Danio rerio: one gene and its partner. The protein of the gene in region 1 purifies or fractionates together with the protein of each later gene. This does not show direct contact. Links are inferred from orthologs where the notes say so. Each region holds a gene or a part of one and is shown on either strand. Other genes may lie near its edges.

The links.
Region 2: the proteins of uqcrfs1 (region 1) and lyrm7 purify together in Homo sapiens (co-immunoprecipitation; 5 studies listed by BioGRID and IntAct, with this or other methods). This does not show direct contact. The link is inferred for Danio rerio from reciprocal best matches to the Homo sapiens genes UQCRFS1 and LYRM7.

Annotation. Positions count from the first base shown.
Region 1 is NC_133182.1:45,936,478-45,947,117, reverse strand, and holds uqcrfs1 (cytochrome b-c1 complex subunit Rieske, mitochondrial), read right to left. Parts: upstream 5,085-10,640; 5' UTR 5,046-5,084; coding exon 4,835-5,045; intron 3,426-4,834; coding exon 2,815-3,425; 3' UTR 2,284-2,814; downstream 1-2,283.
Region 2 is NC_133185.1:5,433,558-5,444,272, forward strand, and holds lyrm7 (complex III assembly factor LYRM7), read left to right. Parts: upstream 1-5,462; 5' UTR 5,463-5,479; coding exon 5,480-5,500; intron 5,501-5,723; coding exon 5,724-5,796; intron 5,797-6,113; coding exon 6,114-6,184; intron 6,185-7,620; coding exon 7,621-7,702; intron 7,703-9,840; coding exon 9,841-9,911; 3' UTR 9,912-10,162; downstream 10,163-10,715.

The DNA of each region.
Region 1 (10,640 bases):
TAAACATTACAAAATTGTATCTTTTCCCAACAGGAAAAAACAGCAACAATTAAAATGTTGATTATATGCATTTTGTGATGGTTTAGTTTTCATGGTTTTGCAAATGCGAAATGTGGTTATAATGGAAGCTAATGGGCAAAAATAGTCACCAACAGTATAATAGGGAGAAAAAATTAAATTAAATGCTGCAAAAAAACTAACAATACATCAAAGGCAATGCCGTTACTAATCTTTTACATGTCCAAGAAACATGTGAAACTTAAAGTCCACAATTTCTTTTATATTAAAAATGTCATTTTTCATGTTATGTGTTTTTTTCCCAACAAATCAGTGACATAATTTGTAAACTTGGCAATGAAAGAGTTAAAATCCTGTATTTAAAAACAAACAAAAAAACATTTAGTAGTCTTGATCAGGACTGAGGTTGATTAACAGATAATTAATAATAGATAATAATCTAATGCATTTTTTGTTTAATTTAGTGGATGTTTGAACAGAGCAAGGGTTAAACTAATAAAAGAAAGTAAAATGTGAAAATTATTTCCTTCCGACTGACTTTTTGCCCAGAAATTAGTCCAATAAAGTGATTGCTGTTGGATACTAAATAAGTATGTTGGAGCCAGGGATCTCCGTGATTTTCCGCTGATACACAATGGTACCCTGACAACCCCCGGGACCTCGTGATTTTATCAGTCAGGCCTGAATGTCGGCCAAGCTGCTGGCAGCAAGACCTGGCATGAGCTGAGGACTCCAGGACGACTGAGCAGGTTGCATGTCATAAGTAGTGGATGCTCAGAGGAAGGCAGAGAAAACGGCAATCAAGTGAATTAAATATATTAAAATACCCAGAGCTTGCAAGAAAATGAAATCAGTGAATGTTCAGGCGATACCTAGATGCATTCAGTGAAAAAGATGTTTAAAAAAAAAAAAAAAAAAAAAAAAAGACAAGCTAATAGAAGTAATAGAAGTGGCACAATCATAAAAAGGCAAACCTGAATTGTTAGGTTACACAAAATGTTCCAGATGAAGCGTATGCTTTGTGCCCGAGTCAAGTGGCATCAATATGCTGGTATGAATTAACGGTTTCACCTCGAAGGTCTACTGAAGCTCTGTGCAGCCCAGCAAAGGAGCATATCAACTCTATTAACCCGCAGACATGTCCGACGCATTTCTCAGACATTCAAACACAAATGCACCCACGGAGAAAAGCTACTCTATATGATAATATGGCCCTGAAACGTCTATTCAAATAATATCTGGATGAGAGGAACGCTACTGTTTACCTGTCTTTGTGTCGCCTCACAAGAGCACATTACAAGTATATAGCAATTGACTTCATGTGGAAACTCTGGGTTTCTGAAAAAATAAATAAAAAAATGGCAGAATAGTAAACGCATGCAATTCATATTGAGATTCCAATTCAAATGTACAAGATGCATTAGCTTCTTAGCTTTAAGTATTTCATGTTTAATTGATGCCACTTCAATCACGTGAAATCAAAAGAACGACTTTCATTCAAGACAAACTGTCCTGTTTTGCTTTACATATTGAGATTATTAGAATCAATTTTAACCATTGTGCATCCTTATAAACATGTATTTTATTTGTATGTTAAATAAGGATTCTCCATATTTCTAGTCAGAACAAAATAGTATACTAGAATACTTGTTGCGATATTTCAAAATATGTCCCAAATTGAAAATTACAACCCAGTAGCATTTAAACAAAGTTCTTACATTATTTAACAAAAGGCTTCTGTTTTGGTGGCAAGGCCTCAAAATGTTGAATGATAAATTAGTGTAAAATCTGTAGTCCACTTTTTCAGAATGGCCTGTGAGCTTTTTGTTTTCTACTTTTAAACACTAAAAGCTAATTGAGGAAGAGGGAAGAGAAAAAGGGCTAACGCCAATAAAATCAATTAATGTTTTGTGGCTACCTGGACTAGTGCTGTGGGAGTAATCAATGACGGTAGAAGCATAAAAATAAATAAATAAAACATTGTTTGCTTTTTTTCCTTTGTAAACATGTAGCTTTAAACTGATGCACACTCATTAAATAAAACTGTTCCTGAATTTGAAATGACTGCAGATATCAAGTCAGTATGGCCCGTAGAGCAAATAAAACATCTTGTTCTTGTTCAGTCTTTGCTTTTTAATGCGTTTAAAATCAATCATGATTACCACAATCATCATATTCTCACATGCATCATAGATTTGGTTTTATCTTTTTTATGTCTTAAAATAGATTTTTAAGAAATGTAAAAGACAGCATGAACCTGGTGAATATTTTTTTCAGCTTTACTAAAGTGGTTTACCCACAGACAATCAGGAACAGAACACTCAACGTGTCCATATTTCACTCTTTTTAATGGTTTCATCTGAAACCTAGCCTCAAACAGTTATTACATTTACCAATGACAAAATATTGGTGCAAAAGCTATTTCATTGATTATGTATGGTAAACTGCACTTTGTTTTCCACCTACTCCCTGCACACATCACCCACCTGACTTTGTTGTTTTTGCCAACATCACTTTAACAATTATATCCTACAGATCTAATTTGTTCCTTATCTGAAAAACCTGCAATGCATAAAATTAGACAACCCAAGTGACTCCGTTAAACAATTTGTATATCGAGTCTGAATAAATAGAGCTGAGTGAAGATTCCATCAGATAAAATACATTTTATTACTTACAATTAACCTTTGTTACCCATCGAGTCAATGCAGATAGTGTGTCTGAAACAAGATGAACAAAAATCAAACACGCAAAGCACACGGTCTGTGTGGATCATAGTTAATGTAGTACAGTCCTTTATCCTACAACCACTGTGTCGTCATCTGGGAACTCATAGTAGGGCACCTCCAGATTGAGCGGAGCAGGGCCTTTCCTGATGCGACCAGATGCATCATAATGAGAGCCGTGGCACGGGCAGTAATAACCGCCGAATTCACCGGCATTAGCAATAGGCACACAGCCCAGATGGGTGCAGACACCAATGACGATAACCCAGGACGGGTTCACAACACGGTCTTTGTCGTGCTGAGGGTCCCGAAGCTCAGCGAGATTGACGCCAGCCTCAGTCTCGATCTCCTTCTCTGTTCTGTGGCGGACAAACAGGGGCTTCCCTCTCCATTTGAAGGTCATGTTCTTACCCTCAGGGATGTCTGCCAGCTTGATTTCAATCTTGGACAAAGCCAAAACGTCAGCTGAGGCACTCATAGAGGACACAAACTGTGTAACGACTGTCTTGGCTGTATAGACTCCAACCACAAGGGTAGACCCCGTCATCAGATAGGAGAAGGCCCGCCGGGCATCACCACTCTCTTGCGACTGCTTATTTGGGTTCAAAACTTCTGGCCGGCGGTAGTCAGAGAAATCAGGGATCTTGATGTCTGTGTGAGCGAAGCGTACTGAAGAGCGAGCTACAAAATGGAAAAACAAACAATAATAACAGAACTAAATAAACAGATTAGAAATACTAAAAAATGTGCATTGAATGGCACATGAAATAGTAGCAGAACAATAAACTGACATACGGCCCTATGAGTTCCACGATGCAAATAATAATAAAGCAGATCCCATATAAAACAGAGGTAAAGTTGGTTTTATATTAACACATTTATTCAGTGACAACTCCCTTTATTGTTTACTATAGCACTTAAAATATTCGGTCTAAAATAACCTGCAAGTGTGATTTGAAAACAACATTAACACTGTTTATTTGACTGTGAACAATGTTGTACTTTTATAGTCATTGGCTGCTAATATGATTTCACTATACAGATTTTGCAAATAATACTTTTATGAAATTATATTATTAAGGAGAAAGTCAGAATGTGCGGATATAAAACCAATTTTACCTCTATGTATAATATACATGTTTGTGTGTGTGTGTATATATTGTTTATCATCATTATTTTATATAATATAAATAAACATAGTAAATATAGTGTGGCACATAAATCTTTTCTGAATATCAAACTACAACTTGACAAATCTCTGAACGAATAAATTGCAGACACCTGTGATGCTCATGGTGATTTCAGTGTCACTACAATGACAACATGAACACATGCATATCTCAAGGCCTGATTTAAAAAGCCACCTTATGTTTTATATATATATATATATATATATATATATATATATATATATATATATATATATATATATATACACACACATACATACATATACAAGTTTAAAGGAAGGGAGGTCACTGTGGCTGTGAATGTCGAAAACTTGACAAATGTCCAGTATATTCAGCTTAATATTCAACTCCGACGTTGATGAAACATAACATCTAAATATCTATTTGCAACAGAAATCCACATCAAAAATTTGTAACAAGAGGCCTGACGTTGTGTCATATAATAAACCCAATAACGTTACCTAACGTTATATTTAACCCAAAACCATAAATGAAATGAACCGAATTCTAAAACGTACTTAATTATTTTATTATAACATTCGTAATTCGTACAAAGTGAGGCTAAATGACAATTATTTTTTTCCCCCCCAAAAGACAGACATTGATTTACTTCTAGTCTTAGCTGCTGCAAGGACATTAGCAATGAAGCTAACGGATGTAGCACGTGAGCTACTGCTACTGCCGTTTTGTTATATACGTTGGTATTAAATAAACTTTGCAATAATAATACTTCGGCATTAGTAACGTACAACACTACAAAATTCTTGAGACACTTGACGAAGCACATCAACGTTAATCATGAGAGTTCACTGTGCCCTTGAGTGCGCGCTAGCTGCACGGCCTCCTCTTGCTACAGAGACCGGGAATCTCGAATTGACTGAGGCCCGCTATTAAACTCACCGTTCAGGCTGGAGGACACGGCGAGGCCGCTCTTCGCGCTCTGACCGGACAAGGACTCCCGGCACAGGAACGGTTTCTTCGTGTCCACCAACAGATTATCACTCTTCACGACGACGCCGGCTATGAGAGGCTTTAGTGGACCTGCCACGGCATAATTTGTAGCTTGCAGGTACGGGGAAAAAGTCCCCGAACGGGCAGCAATGGACATCATGTTTGTCGGCTAGCAGCGCTCCGTCGACCTTCCCGGTGTATTCTAGTGACACAACTGACGCATGCGCAGTCCTGATTTCAACGGTCACAGTCACGGGGTGTTGACACGTAAGAATTTTTCTTCCTCAAACTTTTACTTGCATCTAGCTTCAAAAATCTAATTAAAGAGGTTGTTCACCAAGTTACTTCTATATATGGAGTATAAATGTTTAGTTTATTATTTTTATACTATAACGGTAATTCGATATACCAGAGAATTACTAACTTTTTTATTTTGTATGGAAAATATTTTAGTCACGAACAAAAATTTTCGCATTCACAGCCTTCTTTTTTTTCCACATTTTATAATAAAAATGTATATTTTCATTAAATCTCTTAGATTGGTTAAAAACAAAAAAGTGATTCTTGGATTATTATGATAATTATTTTGGAAATATCACAGATAAGTCCTTCTTTCCTTTTGCTGTATTTGTGTTATGTATGTGTGGCTATTTAGTTTTTAATTTTTGTTCCTGTTTTTAATGTTTACTGTTTGATCTGTTAACCTATTACAATTGCTACTATTATTGACTTGTTTGTGTAAGGTCAAAGTTTGTGTTTGTTATTGAAGTCAATAAAATAAAATAACTTAATAAATAAATAAGAAATTACCCCTCAAACTTTTTTCCTGCATTTAAATCAAATTAAAAATTTGCTCACCTGGTTGTTCCTATATATTACCATGGTAGTTACTTTGAGTTTGGATAAATGTTTGCTTAATCATTACTTAACAGATCAGAAGTAAAAAAAAGTTGTATAGTGAAGCATCTGACATGTCAAAATAAAATAAAATGAATAAATAAATAATTATACATTAAAAAAAAGCATTAGGAAATTGAACATATGTTTGTAAAAACAATATAAAAATGTGCCTTTACAAAAACACATTATTAAAAAACAACGATATAAAAACAATGATTGTTCTGAATATTTATTCATTTATTTTCATTTCGACTTTCCTTTATTAATCTGTGGTCGCCACAGCTGAATGAAACACCAACTTATCCAGCTTATGTTTTATGCAGCAGATGCCCTTCCAGCTGCAACCCATTACTGAGAAATGTTCTGAATATAATAATAATAATAATAATGATAACATTAATGATAATAATGATAATAATAATAGTTTTTTTGTTAATAATATGTTTTTTATTTATTAATTTTATAAGGAAGTCATTCATTCATTCATTCATTCATTCATTCATTCATTCATTCATTCATTCATTCATTATTTTAATCATTCATTCATTCCTTTATTTATTTAAGGACAACTCAACTTAAAAAAGTGAGCAGCTTTGTGTTGGTCAATGTGGCACTTTTGCATTTTCAACTTAAACCTATTGCAAAATATTTTGCACTAATTATATGTGTTTCTTATGAAATTGCTGGATTTTACAAGTGAAAATTCAGTCAAAAATTTCTGCGGTCAATAGTGTGGCAATCGCTCTCAAACTAAGCAGCTCTATGATAGTCAACTTGTAAAATTGGTTACCAACCTGAAAACAAACCATGTGGGGAACTCTTTTTTGCCCTCACATTAAACTCTACATCGAAAGGATTCCCACTGAGTGACTGGATTTTGCCCATGAATTTTTGCCATGGAGCTGTGAATGTGACCACAAGGCAGATTTTCCTCCAAGGTTCCTTCTTTCATTTAGTCTTTCACTCCCTACCATGGCAGTACCCAAACATTTACGAACTGGATTTGCATACTGCTGGATATTACAAAAGACTATTTCCATGAACATTTCCTGAAGCAATCCCATTTGTATGTTCCTGTTTATCTACACTGACTGGGTTACAGCTTGTCAAGTTCTCGCAGCCCATTTTAATAAATCCAGTAAGTATGTCTGATTTTACTGCCTGCTGTTGCCACGGCATCAGCTTTGATCAATGTGATGCGGTTTGCTTGCAATTGAGTCCCAGCTATTTGAGGCCACAATTCCTTCTCTGTCAACTGAAAATAAACTCTATTGACACTTTTAATCTATGAGTATGCAGTTTGGCTCGGGCGCTCTCCATACTGTATACGCTGTATCACTCTTGACATTTGCTGTTTCTACATGCCTGCTTATTACGTTTATTAGAAAAGGACATCTAGTTCCAACTAGAGCTCTAATTCTTCACAGAGACAGAAGTAAATTAAAATGCATGTGAATGATTTCAGAAAACAGGCCCAGAAAAGTTATCCACATACATTCAGATGCCTTATATGCAGTTTTGAAATACTTCATAAAAACTATAATCAGGCATGAAGCATATACACACCAAGGTTATTAGTGTGTTGCAATGTTATAGCACTGATAATAATAACAATAAAATAAAAAATAAGTTCACTGCTATAATAAAAAAAAATCCACAATACATGAAAAATTATAACTAGCTAAAATAAGGCACAAAAAATTAAATCAAATGATAATTAGCAAAATAATTGTGTTTATAATTACACCAGCAAGCAATTATTCTGTGCTGTGGTAAAAAATTTGAAATGCATCTGTTTAGAGAAGTACCTGTAGATGGCGTTTTTACTTTTATTCATTTTCTTTTTGGCTCAGTCCTTTTATTAACCAGGAATCGCCACATCGGAATGCACCACCAACTTATCCAGCATATGTTTTACACAGAGGATGCCCTTCCAGGTACAACCCAACATTGGGAAACACCCATACATCATCTCATTCTTACACATACTCAATGGCCAATTTAGCTTATTCAATTCACCCGTACCACACAGAAATGCCAACTGATTCAACCGGGTTCGAACCAGTGACCTTCTTGATGTGAGGCAATCGTTTCACCCTTTGCATCACCGTGACGCCCGGCACTTTTACAGACAAACAGAAAAAAAATACATAAATAGTAATTTGCCAAAAAAAAGTATGTTTATTTACATACATGATCTTTAATATGAAAAATTCCGAATTATTCTTTTTTTTACATTTATTTGTTTAACTATTAATAGTTTTTGATTCAGTGTTTGTGTATACAATTATTTTATTTTGATATCACTTTGTCCAAATTGCACATTTTAATGACTATGTAATATTGAAACTACATATCAATTAATTATTTTAGAGTATCAGTAGACTGTTTGCTTAAACTCTACTGAAACCACTCCACCATTAGACATTTTCCAGGCTATAAGAAAAATTGTAACATATCAACATTTTGGCCCAATCCCAATTCTATTATTGTATTATTTTTGTCCTTCATATTCCCCTTGCCCCTTGAGTGTGAAGGGGAAGGGGTTCAAAATGTACCCCCCAAGACATGGAACAGCACTACAACATCTGCACACATCATCATATGTCATCGCAATCTCTTGCTTTATATGAGATCAGACGATCATGACTGCTGTAGTTATTCTAGTTGTGTTGCTTTTGGGCATTTATCTTCCGAAAATCACTAAAGGCATATATCATGTCATCATACTATATAATGTGGCTATAAACTTGTATCTGTACTGTGCACTTACACCGTGGCCATATCCATCTATGTAAACAAATAAAAACAACATTAACATTACACCAGACACTATAAAAAGCTCATTCCCAGCCATTAGACTTATCAGACAGGGTATTCGAGTGTCATTGAGTGACAGAATGTTGTGGGGCTAAATTTTGCAGTTTTTATTTTAGCTGAGTTTTTTAAGCATGATGGTGAAATACAAGCGCTATTAAGAATCCATTACCAGCCAAGCTACCATTGTAGATGGTGTATTCTGGGAAAATTTCTTACCTTTTGGTTAAGGTCCTGAAAAATCTCTGTTTGAAGGCTATCTAGCTCCTCTCCTTAGCCCTAACCTTCAAGCTAAATATAATTGGGTAAGGGGAAGGGCTAAGGGGTATAATCGGGATTGGGCCTTAACCTAACCCTAACCCTAACCCCAGCCTTGCGATCTAATAAAACTCTAATACACTAGGGGTGTGTTTCTGAAAACCATCGTTAGCCAACTAAGGTTACAAATTCTGTTGTTACAAACATTCGAACATTCGTTACGAACATTCACAAACGTCGCAAACTTGTGCACTTGTACAAAAATACAAATGCGTTCACAAAATAAAAAACTAGACTAAAAGTAACACCATATGTACAATTGTATTGAAATAAAATCTTATACAAAACTGCTAAAATATAAAAACCTTGATAAACACAACTGCAGCTTGTATCTCTTCAAACCCAGGCCTCGCAGATGTGGGTCTGTGCATTTTCCTTACCCAAGGCCAAGCTGAACTTCCTGTCCTTTAGTTGTGACATAAAGAGAGTTTATCTCTGAAAGAAGCAATATCCCAGAGGGGAAGATGGGAGAACCACATTCAGAGCACAGGCCAGTTTAACAGAGACATATTAAGTCCCTTGTATCCTGCCGATGCTCCTGCACTGCTAACAGCACATTAAAAGCTGACAGACGACCCCTGACCCCTCGCTTCAGACCCCGCACTCTGCTGGCGTATTCTTTCACGCACAGCTGGATACCGGCTCTTTGAGAAGGGGGATTATATCACAGCCTTTTTGACGACAAGTGCCATATCAGCTGGTGTCTACACGCACATTCATAGTCGTGTATACCCACGCCCAGCCAACCAACCAACGATAGCATCACTGCCAAAGCAATTAATCCGCCTGTCTCTTTAGATTCCAAGTGATGTGAGGATTTCCAGTGCTGAACTTCCACTTCAAAGGCATTTTACAATACCCGAATGAGAACACTGAGAGGGATGTGCCTTTCTCCATAGAATTCGAGGATGAAAACGAATGACCCTTGGTTCCCCGTGCTCTGGCACTTCAGAGAAAAATGAGAGTGAGAATCAGGTCAATGCTGCTTTAAATATGCAATGAGTATCTTAAGCCTCCTCCATGCGACTCATCGATTTTCTCATTCCATCATCCTCGGACCTAATGAAGGCCTTTCATTTTTTGATTGTGTAACCTTTCCTTCTAAAATATGATGAATCATATATCTCAGAGGACTAAATACATTTTAATCAATCGACTTTTTCGCTATTGATTAGGAGCCGGGGAAGAAAGTTATTGCATTTGGTCGTGAAAAGAAGGGACAGATATGACATCGTTTTTGATTGGTTTATACAATCAAAGAGGGAGTTAGTGGGTAGAGATGACATCCTCCTGGACCACTGTGATCAATTCATAAAACCTGTAGGGAGTTATTCGTTAACATTCTCATTAATCTTTATGGCAAGAGCATAGCATAAAACCTTAGCATGGCAATTTTCTGTGTATGCATCATATACCACCATACAAAAGTATTGGGTCAGAATGTTTTTTTTTTTCTTTATTTTATTTTAATATTTTTATTTAGTTTTAATATAGTATTTTTTTTTTGAACGATCATGTGATACCAAATACAGTATTTTTTATTTTATCTTTTTAAATGTGTATTGTGCTGTTAGCTGAGCCTATTTTAAAATAAAAATAATAATAAAATTACACAACATCTGCTATAATATTATTGTGTTTTTTTTACAATGTACACTACCTAACAAAATTCTTGTCGCCTATTCAAGTTTTAGGAACAACAAATAATACCTTGACTTCT
Region 2 (10,715 bases), on another chromosome or scaffold:
TCACAGGTGTGAAAGCACCCTAAATTGACATGCATATGTAAACCGCAGTGCAAATATGAATACCCCTTTTTAAACCATAGGCTGTTAAACAAACAGAAACTGCTGGACATGATGACGTCAGTAATATGCAAAGTGACGTAATCCAGCTTCATTTAGCGACTTTTTGAGCAAAGTTCTCATTGAAAATAGTTGTTAACACTGTCATCATTAGTAAAATATCATTAGTGTTAAAAGAAACTAAAGTTGCTGGCATTATTTTACCTAGAAACTGCAGCGAAACGAGAGTTGAAGTGCTTTTTTTTTTTTGCAGGTTCACAAAAATGTAGGCTTATTCACGCATTTCCAACGAGCCTGTGTTGCATACGTCAGTGGGAAACTTACAGCTCATTTATTATCCTCTCAAGATTTCTCCTTAAGAACTGCTTTTTCTGCTGAAGAAGACTTTCGTCATCCTTTGAGTGAAGAAATCATCTGAGCTTGCAGTAGATTTCCTCCTTTCTAATAAAAACTCTTGCTTTGTCTGGAGATGGCAAAATCAAAGTCCGGACCGTTACCCTAAACAATGACAACTTTGAAACATTTCTTATTTCACATAAATTATTTGAAACAATAAAATAGACAAGTACTTCGCTTTATGAAATTGAACTTGATGCAGACACCAAAATGGCCCGAGTCCATAATAAAGCAAAACAGAAGAAAAAAAATCTAAAATACACTCATCTTTTGAATTAGACAACAAAACTATATTCTGTTATAATATCCAATAAATAAGCCACAGTGCAGCTGACAACAACAAACAAACAAATAAATCAGTGCTATAACGAGCAGTAGCTCAAGAACGGCTCTTCTGTGTTATGTGAAGCACAATAAACTATTGACTTGAACAGCATCAGGGATTCTGTACCAAGCTCAACCCAGCTCTATTGTACAGCAAGAATTCACACATGATATACAGCCTGCCAGTGTTCTCTCAGTATTATATGCAGTTGATAAATAAACATATGAAATATGAGCAATAACAATTAATAACTGATAGATAATAGATATCAAATACATTTTTTTTTATCTGTGTGAACTGCAAGTTTCTGCAGATCGTAACGGGCCATGAAACCCCCTTGTTTCAGCAGGGTGTTTTCACACCTCTACTTTGGAAAAAAGTGGGCGTGTCCAGCTCTGTTTAGGGGGGAGTGTCGGAGGAGGGAAAAAGGCAAGGTCCGTAAAAATTTGCATAATTAGCAGCCAATGACTAGCAAAGTACGGCATTGCTTACAGTCTATCAGATAGTGTTGATGTTGTTTTGAAGTCATCCTCGCATGCTAATTCTGATTGAATATTCAAATTAGCGTGGAAGACAATATAGAGACTTCTAAATGAACGAATGTGCGAATATGAAACCAACTTTACCTCAATCATATCATGTCATAGTTTAGAAATCATATATCAAACTATTGATTTTTTCCGAAATCAGTCAGTTGTGAAGAAGAGTTAAAGTTGGCTTCATATTGGGATATTTAGACATTCTGCTTAATAATATAATATTAGAAAAGTATTCTTTGCAAATTCTAAATTGGGAAATCATATTAGCAGCCAATGACTAGCAAAGTACAGCCATGTTTACAGTCAATCAGATAGTGTTGATGTTGTTTTGAAGTCATCCTCGCATGCTAATTCTGATTGAATATTGAAATTAGCGTGGTAGACAATATAGAGACAACAAAATGAACGAATGTGCGAATATAAAACCAACTTTACCTCAATCAAATTGTGAAATGTTGTGTATGAATTACAAGAAATGTCAAATTGTTTGACAAAAACTCAAAATAATCTCAAATGAAATTAATGGTGTTACAATTATGATGAATCTGGTCAAAATTGGTAATTGTAAAGTTTGATGAAAACACCGTTATTTAGGGTAAGAAACAAACAAGTAGAGGTAAAGTTTGTTTTATATTCGCACATTCGTTAATTTAGAAGTTTCTATATTGTTTGGCATGTTACTTTGAATATTCGATCGGAATTAGCATGCAAGTTTGACTTCTAAACAACATTAACACTATCTAATTCACTGTGAACAATGTTGTACTTTGCTGCTAATATTCATTCATTTTCTTGTCGGCTTGGTCTCTTTATTAATCCGGGGACGCCACAGCGGAATGAACCGCCAACTTATCCAGCAAGTTTTTACGCAGCGGATACCCTTGCAGCCGCAACCCATCTCTGGGAAATGCTGCTAATATAATTTCCCTATTTATAATTTGCAAAATACACTTTTCTGAAATTATATTATTAAGGGAATGTCTGAATATCCGAATATAAAACCACCGTTACCTCTACAGACATTAGTATGTTATAATTGACGACACGCATAATATCCATATGGTGCAAATGAATGAAACTCCGCTGTTTTCTCTTAGTGACTGTATCAACACGCCTACAGTTACTTTTCTCGACACAATACAGTTAACTTAACGGACACATGACCCGCTGTCGCCACCGCACATCTATACTGTTGCTGTTTAACGGAGCAGCTTGTCCAAACCCACTCGAGTTGCCCGGAGTCTCACACAGAGCCGCGAGGGTGTTTGGGAGACCGCGCCGCGCTGCTCACCTTCTCTCCGGGGTTCAGCACATCTGGGCTGCGGCTCCGTGCGCTCTCCTCGGCGGACAGAGGGTGGCAGATCTCCTGGATGGACTTCTGCCCGGAGGAGGGCAGTGATCGCGGGGTACCGCCGTTGCTCATGGCGCTGCACTGCTCTGATCGCGCAGCTGTTTTTATTTCACTGCCGCACGAACCGAACCGAGGAGCCAAACATCTGTCAGCTGACGGACACCGCGCAGAACCGGAACACAACCGGTCAGCTGACGCGGAACACTTCCGGAAAAAAAGCACCTGTTTTCAAATTAAAAGCCCAACTTTTTCGCTTAAAAGTCTTCAAATATTCTGATGGTTTATTTGACTTTTTATTATTAACAATAGGCGAAGCGGTGGCACAGTGGGTGGTGCTGCGGTCACTTCACAGCTAGAAGGTCACTGGTTCGAGCCTCGGCTGGTTCAGTTGGTATTTCTGTGTGGAGTTTGTATGTTCTCCACGTGTTTGGTAAGTTAAATTGTCTGTAGTGTACGTGCGTGAATGAGAGTGTATGGAGGTTTTCCAGTGATGGGTTGCGGCTGGAAGTGCATCCGCTGCATAAAACATATGCTGGATAAGTTGGCGGTTCATTCCGCTGTGGCGACCCCAGATTAATAAAGGGACTAAGCCGAGAAGAAAATGAATGAATGTTATTCTTAATTTATTAACTAAATTAGCTGGATAAGTTGGAGGTTCATTCCACTGTGGCGACCCCAAATTAATAAAGGGACTAAGCCGAAATGAATGAATGAATGAATAAAGATTTGTTTGCGATAAATAATAGTTTTATTTTAATTTTATTTTAATAATAGTTTTATTTTAATAATAGTTTTATTTTAATTTTATTTTAATAATAGTTTTATTTTAATTTTTCGCATTTGCGCAGTTCTGAACAGCAGGTGTCGCTAGTGTCTGAGTTCTGAACGCTTCGAATCCCTGAATCATTTGGCAAAGCTGCTGATTCGAATCTTTGAGGAAAAAAAGCTTCGTTTCTCCCTTCACTAGGCGGCAGTGATGTGTTACTGTGACTGAAGAAAACACAGAGGAAACAAAAGCAGAAGAAACACTCCCTCCATGTGGACGTGGTCTGTTTCTGGAGAAGCTTGAGCTGGCAGTCGCGAGAGTAAGGTATGTTATAGGAATTTATTTGTAAATGTAGAGAGAGTAACATTAACGTTACATTTAGCCGACTGTTTTTGTTGTTATGTGCATAAATATTGATTTTCTTTTATCTGACCCAATGATTAAACACACTACCCATCTGACCCTGAGCAGGGGAAAGATTTAGTTTACTCTTATATGAGGGTCAGTTTAATAACATATTTTTGTTAAAAGCATGAAAGTGGTTTTATTTTGGTTTTATTTACTGAAATGTTTTCTTCGTTGTGTTTCATTTTCAGACAAAGGATCGAGTGTCCGGGCGAGAAACACGTGCGCCAGATTCAGCTCATCTCTTAATAAACGTTTTATAAAATATAAATGTTCCCTTTCTTGTGTTGTGGTGTTTAATTTGTACTTTTATGCTGTTCTGGTCTGTGAAATCCAATAAATTTGTTTTTTAACACATTTGTGTTGGTATTGCGTGAATTATGTTCCCTACAAAGACTTGTTTAAGTTATACACTTTGCAAACTAATTGCAAGTCTTACAAAGTGCAATGTGATTTGTTTAAATAGATAGATAGATTTAGAGAAATAGATCTCTCCCTCTCTCTCTCTCTCTCTCTCTCTCTCTCTCTCTCTCTCTCTCTATATATATATATATATATATATATATATACATACACATACAGGGTGGGTATGGATACACCTTAATAAACTTATTAGGAATTTCACAAGATGATTGTGTGCTTAGTTTTAAATGTAGCTTCATTCTTTCGTGTGTTATTTACAAACCCCCTCACATATAATAAAGTGCCACAAACAGGACGTTGATATCACCAACCTTTCCCATTTTATTAAGGTGTATCCATATAAATTGCCCACCCTGTGTGTGTGTGTGTATATATATATATATATATATATATATATATATATATATATATATATATATATGTGTGTGTGTGTCTATATATATATGTGAGTGTATGTATATATGTACAGTATATACACCACACAAAGCATCGTGGTGTACGATAAAAGTTTTCTATTTAAAAGTTTTTTTCTATTTCGAATTTGGCATCCTACAACACAACATGTTTTCGTTTACCTGTGTGACGTAGGTTGGTATTTCCTTTATAGGTGAATTGAGTTAACTAGAAAGATATATTTCTGTACATTTTTTGCTCTCAATCTTATCGTTAACTTTTTTGTGTTACATTGTACATATTTTTATGCACAAAAAAAAGTTCTCAGACAATAGCTATATTTAATATTTTCTTGGCTGAAATTTGGTTTATTGTTGAATCTCTTAAACTTACTAATAATAAGAAAAATAACATGCTTCTTAAAGCTTATGATGACCATCGATTGAGGCATTGTATGTATATATATATATATATATATATATATATATATATATATATATATATATATATATATATATATATACATACATACATAGTTACTTTACAATTATATTAATAATGTGACGTTTTATTTACCGGTTATATTTCTTTGTTTATATATATATATATATATATATATATATATATATATATATATATATATATATATATATATATATATATATATATATAAGCAAAAAAGATTTTTTAAAAAATAATATAAACAAAAAATATATAAACAAGAAAGCTAAATAAATATAAAAAATCCACTCTTTCTCCAGTCCAGCAGGTGTCGCCGCACAGCCTCACAGTAGCAAACACCTTCTGAAGAACAAGACTTCTGCATGATGGGGACACGCTTGAAGGTGAGAAACAACAGAACTGTACTGTAAATCATTGCTTACTAGAATTATACTGTACATTTATTTGCATTTGATAAGCATAGCAATTAATCGCGAACCTTGTAAATGCCTTTGCTGATGTTAAATTAAATAAAAAGACGAGCACAGATTAATTATATTATAAAATAATGCGTATAATCAATGTTTTCATATTAATAATTATTATTAATATAATGTATTCCATAAGGTGCTCCGGGTGTTCAAAGATCTGCACAGGACCAGAAGAGATGTTTTTAGAGATGATAACAGAGCTCTGACAGGTATCAGCCAGTATTTTAGTCAGCCTTAAACATTATACCTGTAGTATAGTATAGACAGTATCTATTTGTACTTCTCTTATACTGTTTGTAGTTATTGCTTTTTATACACTTGCATTGTCAAATACAAGTTTATTTATTTTATGTGTGGTTCTTTTGTTAGGAATGTTATTTTCCTACAAGATTGTAGTTTCTGTCCTGTTTTTTTTCACTTGTTTATGTTCCAAATCTAAATATTGTCAAATTAATCAATGTTTTATTTATTTAAATAGTGTGTTTGTCTTGTCTCAGTAAGTTTTTTTTCTTCTTTGGCTACGAAGCTGCCAGGGTTAAAATAAATGAAGAATTTAAAAGAAACAAGAATGAAACGTCAGATGATAATATTAAAGAGGTAAGTCCCATAAGAACCCCTGTTTTTGCTTTTTAATGAAAGTTGAATAAATGCGAAAGTTTGCGACTTTTATCTTAAAATTGCAAGTTGCTCTTGGAGGTGCTGGTTCTTAAAAAACTCAAGTACATAATAATAATATTAAATAATATTAATAATAATTCAGGCGAGGCAGTGGAGCAGTAGGCAGTGCTGTCACCTCACAGCAAAAAGGTCACTGGGTCAAGCCTCGGCTCAGTTGGTGTTTCTGTGTGGAGTTTGCATGTTCTCCCTGCCTTCGCGTGGGTTTCCTCTGGGTGCTCCGGTTTCCCCCACAGTCCAAAGACATGCGGTACAGGTAAATTGGGTAGGCTAAATTGTCCGTAGTGTATAAGTGTGTGTGTGGATGTTTCCCAGAGATGGGTTGCAGCTGGAAGGGCATCCGCTGCGTAAAAACTTGCTGGATAAGTTGGCGGTTCATTCCGCTGTGGTGACCCCGGATTAATAAAGGGACTAAGCCGACAAGAAAATGAATGAATGAATAATAATAATTAATTTTATTTGAAAATGGCACCTTTCTAGACACCCAAGGTCGCCTTACAATAAGCGTCAACAGCCATACTAGAACAAATTAAAACATATAATGAAACATTACCAAACAAGCATTGGCCAAACATGTATAAACACACATTGTTAATATAAAAATAACATGATAAAAAACAAAGCCTGCTTAAAAAGATGGGTCTTTAGACGAAATTTAAATGTGTTAAAACTATCACTGCCTCTTAGATCCAGGGGAAGCGAGTTCCACAGAGTTGCACAGAACAACATGAGCATTTATAGCAAATAAACAAATGTAAATATCCCGCTCGGTTTATGAGCCCTGTTGAGCGAGTTCTTACACTCCTATGAACTCGCTCTGCAGACACGCTCGTGTCTGTATCCAGAAGTATCACTGTAACAGCCGAGAGGAGAGGAAAAGTCATGCCAGCAGGTCAAATGTTCACAGTGAGAGAGAGAGAAATGAAGTTTACGTCCATTTTCTCAATCGCAGTGAAATAGAGGCTTCTACTGTTACTTCAGTGTTAGGTAATGACTGTCCAGCAAACACGCAGTGAAGAGTTTCTGCTCTTTAATTACTCGCGGTCGCCTCCCTCGCCATAGTAAGCTGCTCTGAAATAGCACATATAAACTTTCGGCTTGGTTTTTCAGACTTTGCTCACATACGGTTATTAGCGTACTATATAGTATGGAAGTATGCGATTTTGGACTCAAGTTTTTAGCCTTAGTTTTAGCCTTAGTTTCTAAATTGTGAGGGGAAAAGTAGTTTCAAAGTATACAAAGTTTTTGTATTTTTTTTTTTTTAATTCTGTGGCAGACGCATGTTTCTAAAAAACACGAATAATAGGAGAAACAAAGCTTTAAAAAAATGCTAATATTATTTTGCACTTTCTTTTCAGATGCTTAAAATGGCACGAGCGGTTGAGACCATTCTTCGTGAAAGTGTAATCCAGGCAGAGCATGTGGATGAAAATAAAATCGGTACGTAATTATGTAGACCAGTGGTTCTCAAACTTTTTTTACCAAGTACCACCTCAGAAAAAAATATTGCTCCAAGTACCACCATAATGACCTGTTAGCACAGGGATATAAAAACACGGGATACGACCCCAACAACTATTACAAATATGGGGAGGAATTTAGCTTCAAATGATAGAATACATAACAAACATTAGAAAATTAAAAATAAAACAAAAGGTTTAGCCTATTAAAATCAATTTACTAATCACATCAGTGTCATCGTACACGATAAAGGGTTAAAAGTGTTTTTTTTTTTTACTTTAATTATTTAGCGATTACTTCGCGTACCACTTGAAGGAAGCCTGTGTACCACTAGTGGTAGGCGTACCACAGTTTGAGAACCACTGATGTAGACAGTTGTACGTAGACAATAGTTTTTTTGCTGTGAACATCAGCTAGTAGAATTATTTTTAAAGATTGAAACAACATTTATGCTGTGTTCACACCAAACGAGGAACGTTCGAATAAAACGCGTTATTTGCACGTAAATAGACGAGTGAACATTTGAGTTTACGCTCTTAATTGGCGCATCAATATCCGGTTCATTCGCACGTCAAAATCACTTCACAACAGACACTGATTCGCGTGATGGGCAGGGCTTCTGTCTGCCTGGTGACTGTAGCTTCATTGCTAAATGGCTAACATGGATTTTATTAAGCTGTGTTTAGGTGCTTTATGAAGGCTGAAAAACAGCATTGATTTGTTTGGAGCAGTGTCTGGGTCCACTAAATCCTTTCAGAGGTGCACCCAGCTCTGTGAGCTCATAAACTCCTCCAGAAACAACCTGGATGATGGAAGCTTTCAGCGGGGCTTCTGACTGAGCCGAGTAGAGTTTGATAAACTGTTGTCAGTGTAGGCTGGAGGATTTTCCTCCGGTACCTCAACAAAAGGCGCTACGTCATAATCACGCCCCCACAAGAGCAAGCTCCTGATTGGTTAACGCGGCGCGAATGTTAAGTTCAGTTCATATATTCGAACTTGAGTGATTCACTCGAAACGCGTGTTAAGCGCTAAACACTCAATTCACGCTGTGTCATTCGTGCATATCACGCCATTTGCACTGCGTTATTCGCGCGTATCGCACCGCAGGATGTCTGTTCTCACCTTTGCATTGGCTTAACATGTAAATCACTCGCACTTGATGCTTCTTCTGCAACTGGTGTGAACGCAGCATTAGAATCACCCCCTACGTTCACCTCAAATTACCAAAGTCTGTGTGAAATCAAATTTTACAGTGTTTATTTTGCTAGCCCAAAACACCTTGTTATTCTTTAGGTCAGGGGTCACCAATCCTGGTCCTGGAGGGCCGGTGTCCCTGCAGGGTTTAGCTCCATCTTGCCTCAACACACCTGCCTGGATGTTTCAAGTATACCCAGTAAGACCTTAATTAGCTTGTTCAGGTGTGTTTGATTAGGGTTGGAACTAAAATCTGCAGGACATCAACCCTCCAGGAACAAGTTTGGTGACCACTGCTTTAGGTCAATAAACTGTTTTGGTAATCGTCAGTTAAAGTTTAACCATTTGCTTCTGTGTTTGGAGTGGTGGTCCGTCTCTGTTGATGTCAGTTTGGTGGTTTCAGCCACAATATTCTTAGCTATGCCCCTCATAGTTTGCCATGTGAAAGATGGAAAGAAAAGGAAAGCCCCGCCCCTAATCGATATCCTGTTTTAATTGAAAGTAGATCAACAAACTGAAACAAGTCTCAGCAACTACTGGCTCACACCATACCTGCCACTCACCTGATGTGGTAATGCCCATATATCAATCATTATTGGTGGGCGGGGGGACCGCACTCCTACGTCAAGTTACGTTCGGTCTCAAAGCCCCTCTAATTGGTCCACCGTTTTTATGTTGTTAAATTGAAAAAAAAGGACTAGGTGTGTTTATATTACCCCAATATGACGGTCAATACACTATACCTACACACACGTCTGTCCAAACAGCTTGAAAAGTAGATTTTTCACCATAGGTGCCCTTTAAGCAATGTAATAAAATGTTATCAATTGTTATACTTAAGCTAATAAGATGTATAAAGTGTCCAGGTTTTTAAAACTGACTGATTGTTTCCTCTGGCTAAAATGTATTTCTTATATTTGCAGTGTTGCGGCCGCGGAAGAGTCTCCTGCTAGAAAACGTACCTTACTGTGATGCACCCAGTAAAAAGACATGACCCGGATTTACCTGCATGACCCAGGTCTATCTGTGATATTGGACGATGAAACGCAGTCATAAAGATGACTCAGTATTCTTCCATATTTCATTTCCACTGGAATATCACACACAAGCTACAAAAAACGTGTATATTTGGTGAGGCTGATGTTATTGTGCTCAATATAAAGCATTGAATTGCCACTTTGTAAATAGCATTTGTATGGATAAAAGTGTTGAATAAACTGGAAAAGAAAAGGGATTATTCAGACAGAATTGTGTCTCTTTTGTGTGCTAACGTGATTTACATTATGATTTTTCATATTTACCTGTTGCTAACATGTTTATAACATGCTTTAACATCTAGTGAACAGGTTTCGGCACATTGTAAACATGAATTAGCATGTTGCTAACATGTTTCTACCTTGTTTAACATGTTTTCTACATGAATTAGCATCCAAGGGTTAATGTTACACTAGTATGTTTATATTATAAACTTACTAGCCTAACATTAACTTTAACACCTTTATAATGCTTTACCAGTTTTCAGGATACATCATCCATATGCACTGGGACGCATCGTCAGTGGTGTATCCTGGAGTCACTAGTTGTTTCGGGTTTTACATTTATTTACTGAATGCAAGCCACATTATTAAAACACAATAGTTTCTGAAACTTATGACAAAAGTAAATGTTAATTCTGGTAAATATATTTTTTTAATTAATTGAAACATAAAAAATTATGATACAACATCTGTAGGCATAATCGAGGTACCACTTTTAAAGAGGTTTATTACCCTCATGGTCTTCACATTTGTTTATATGG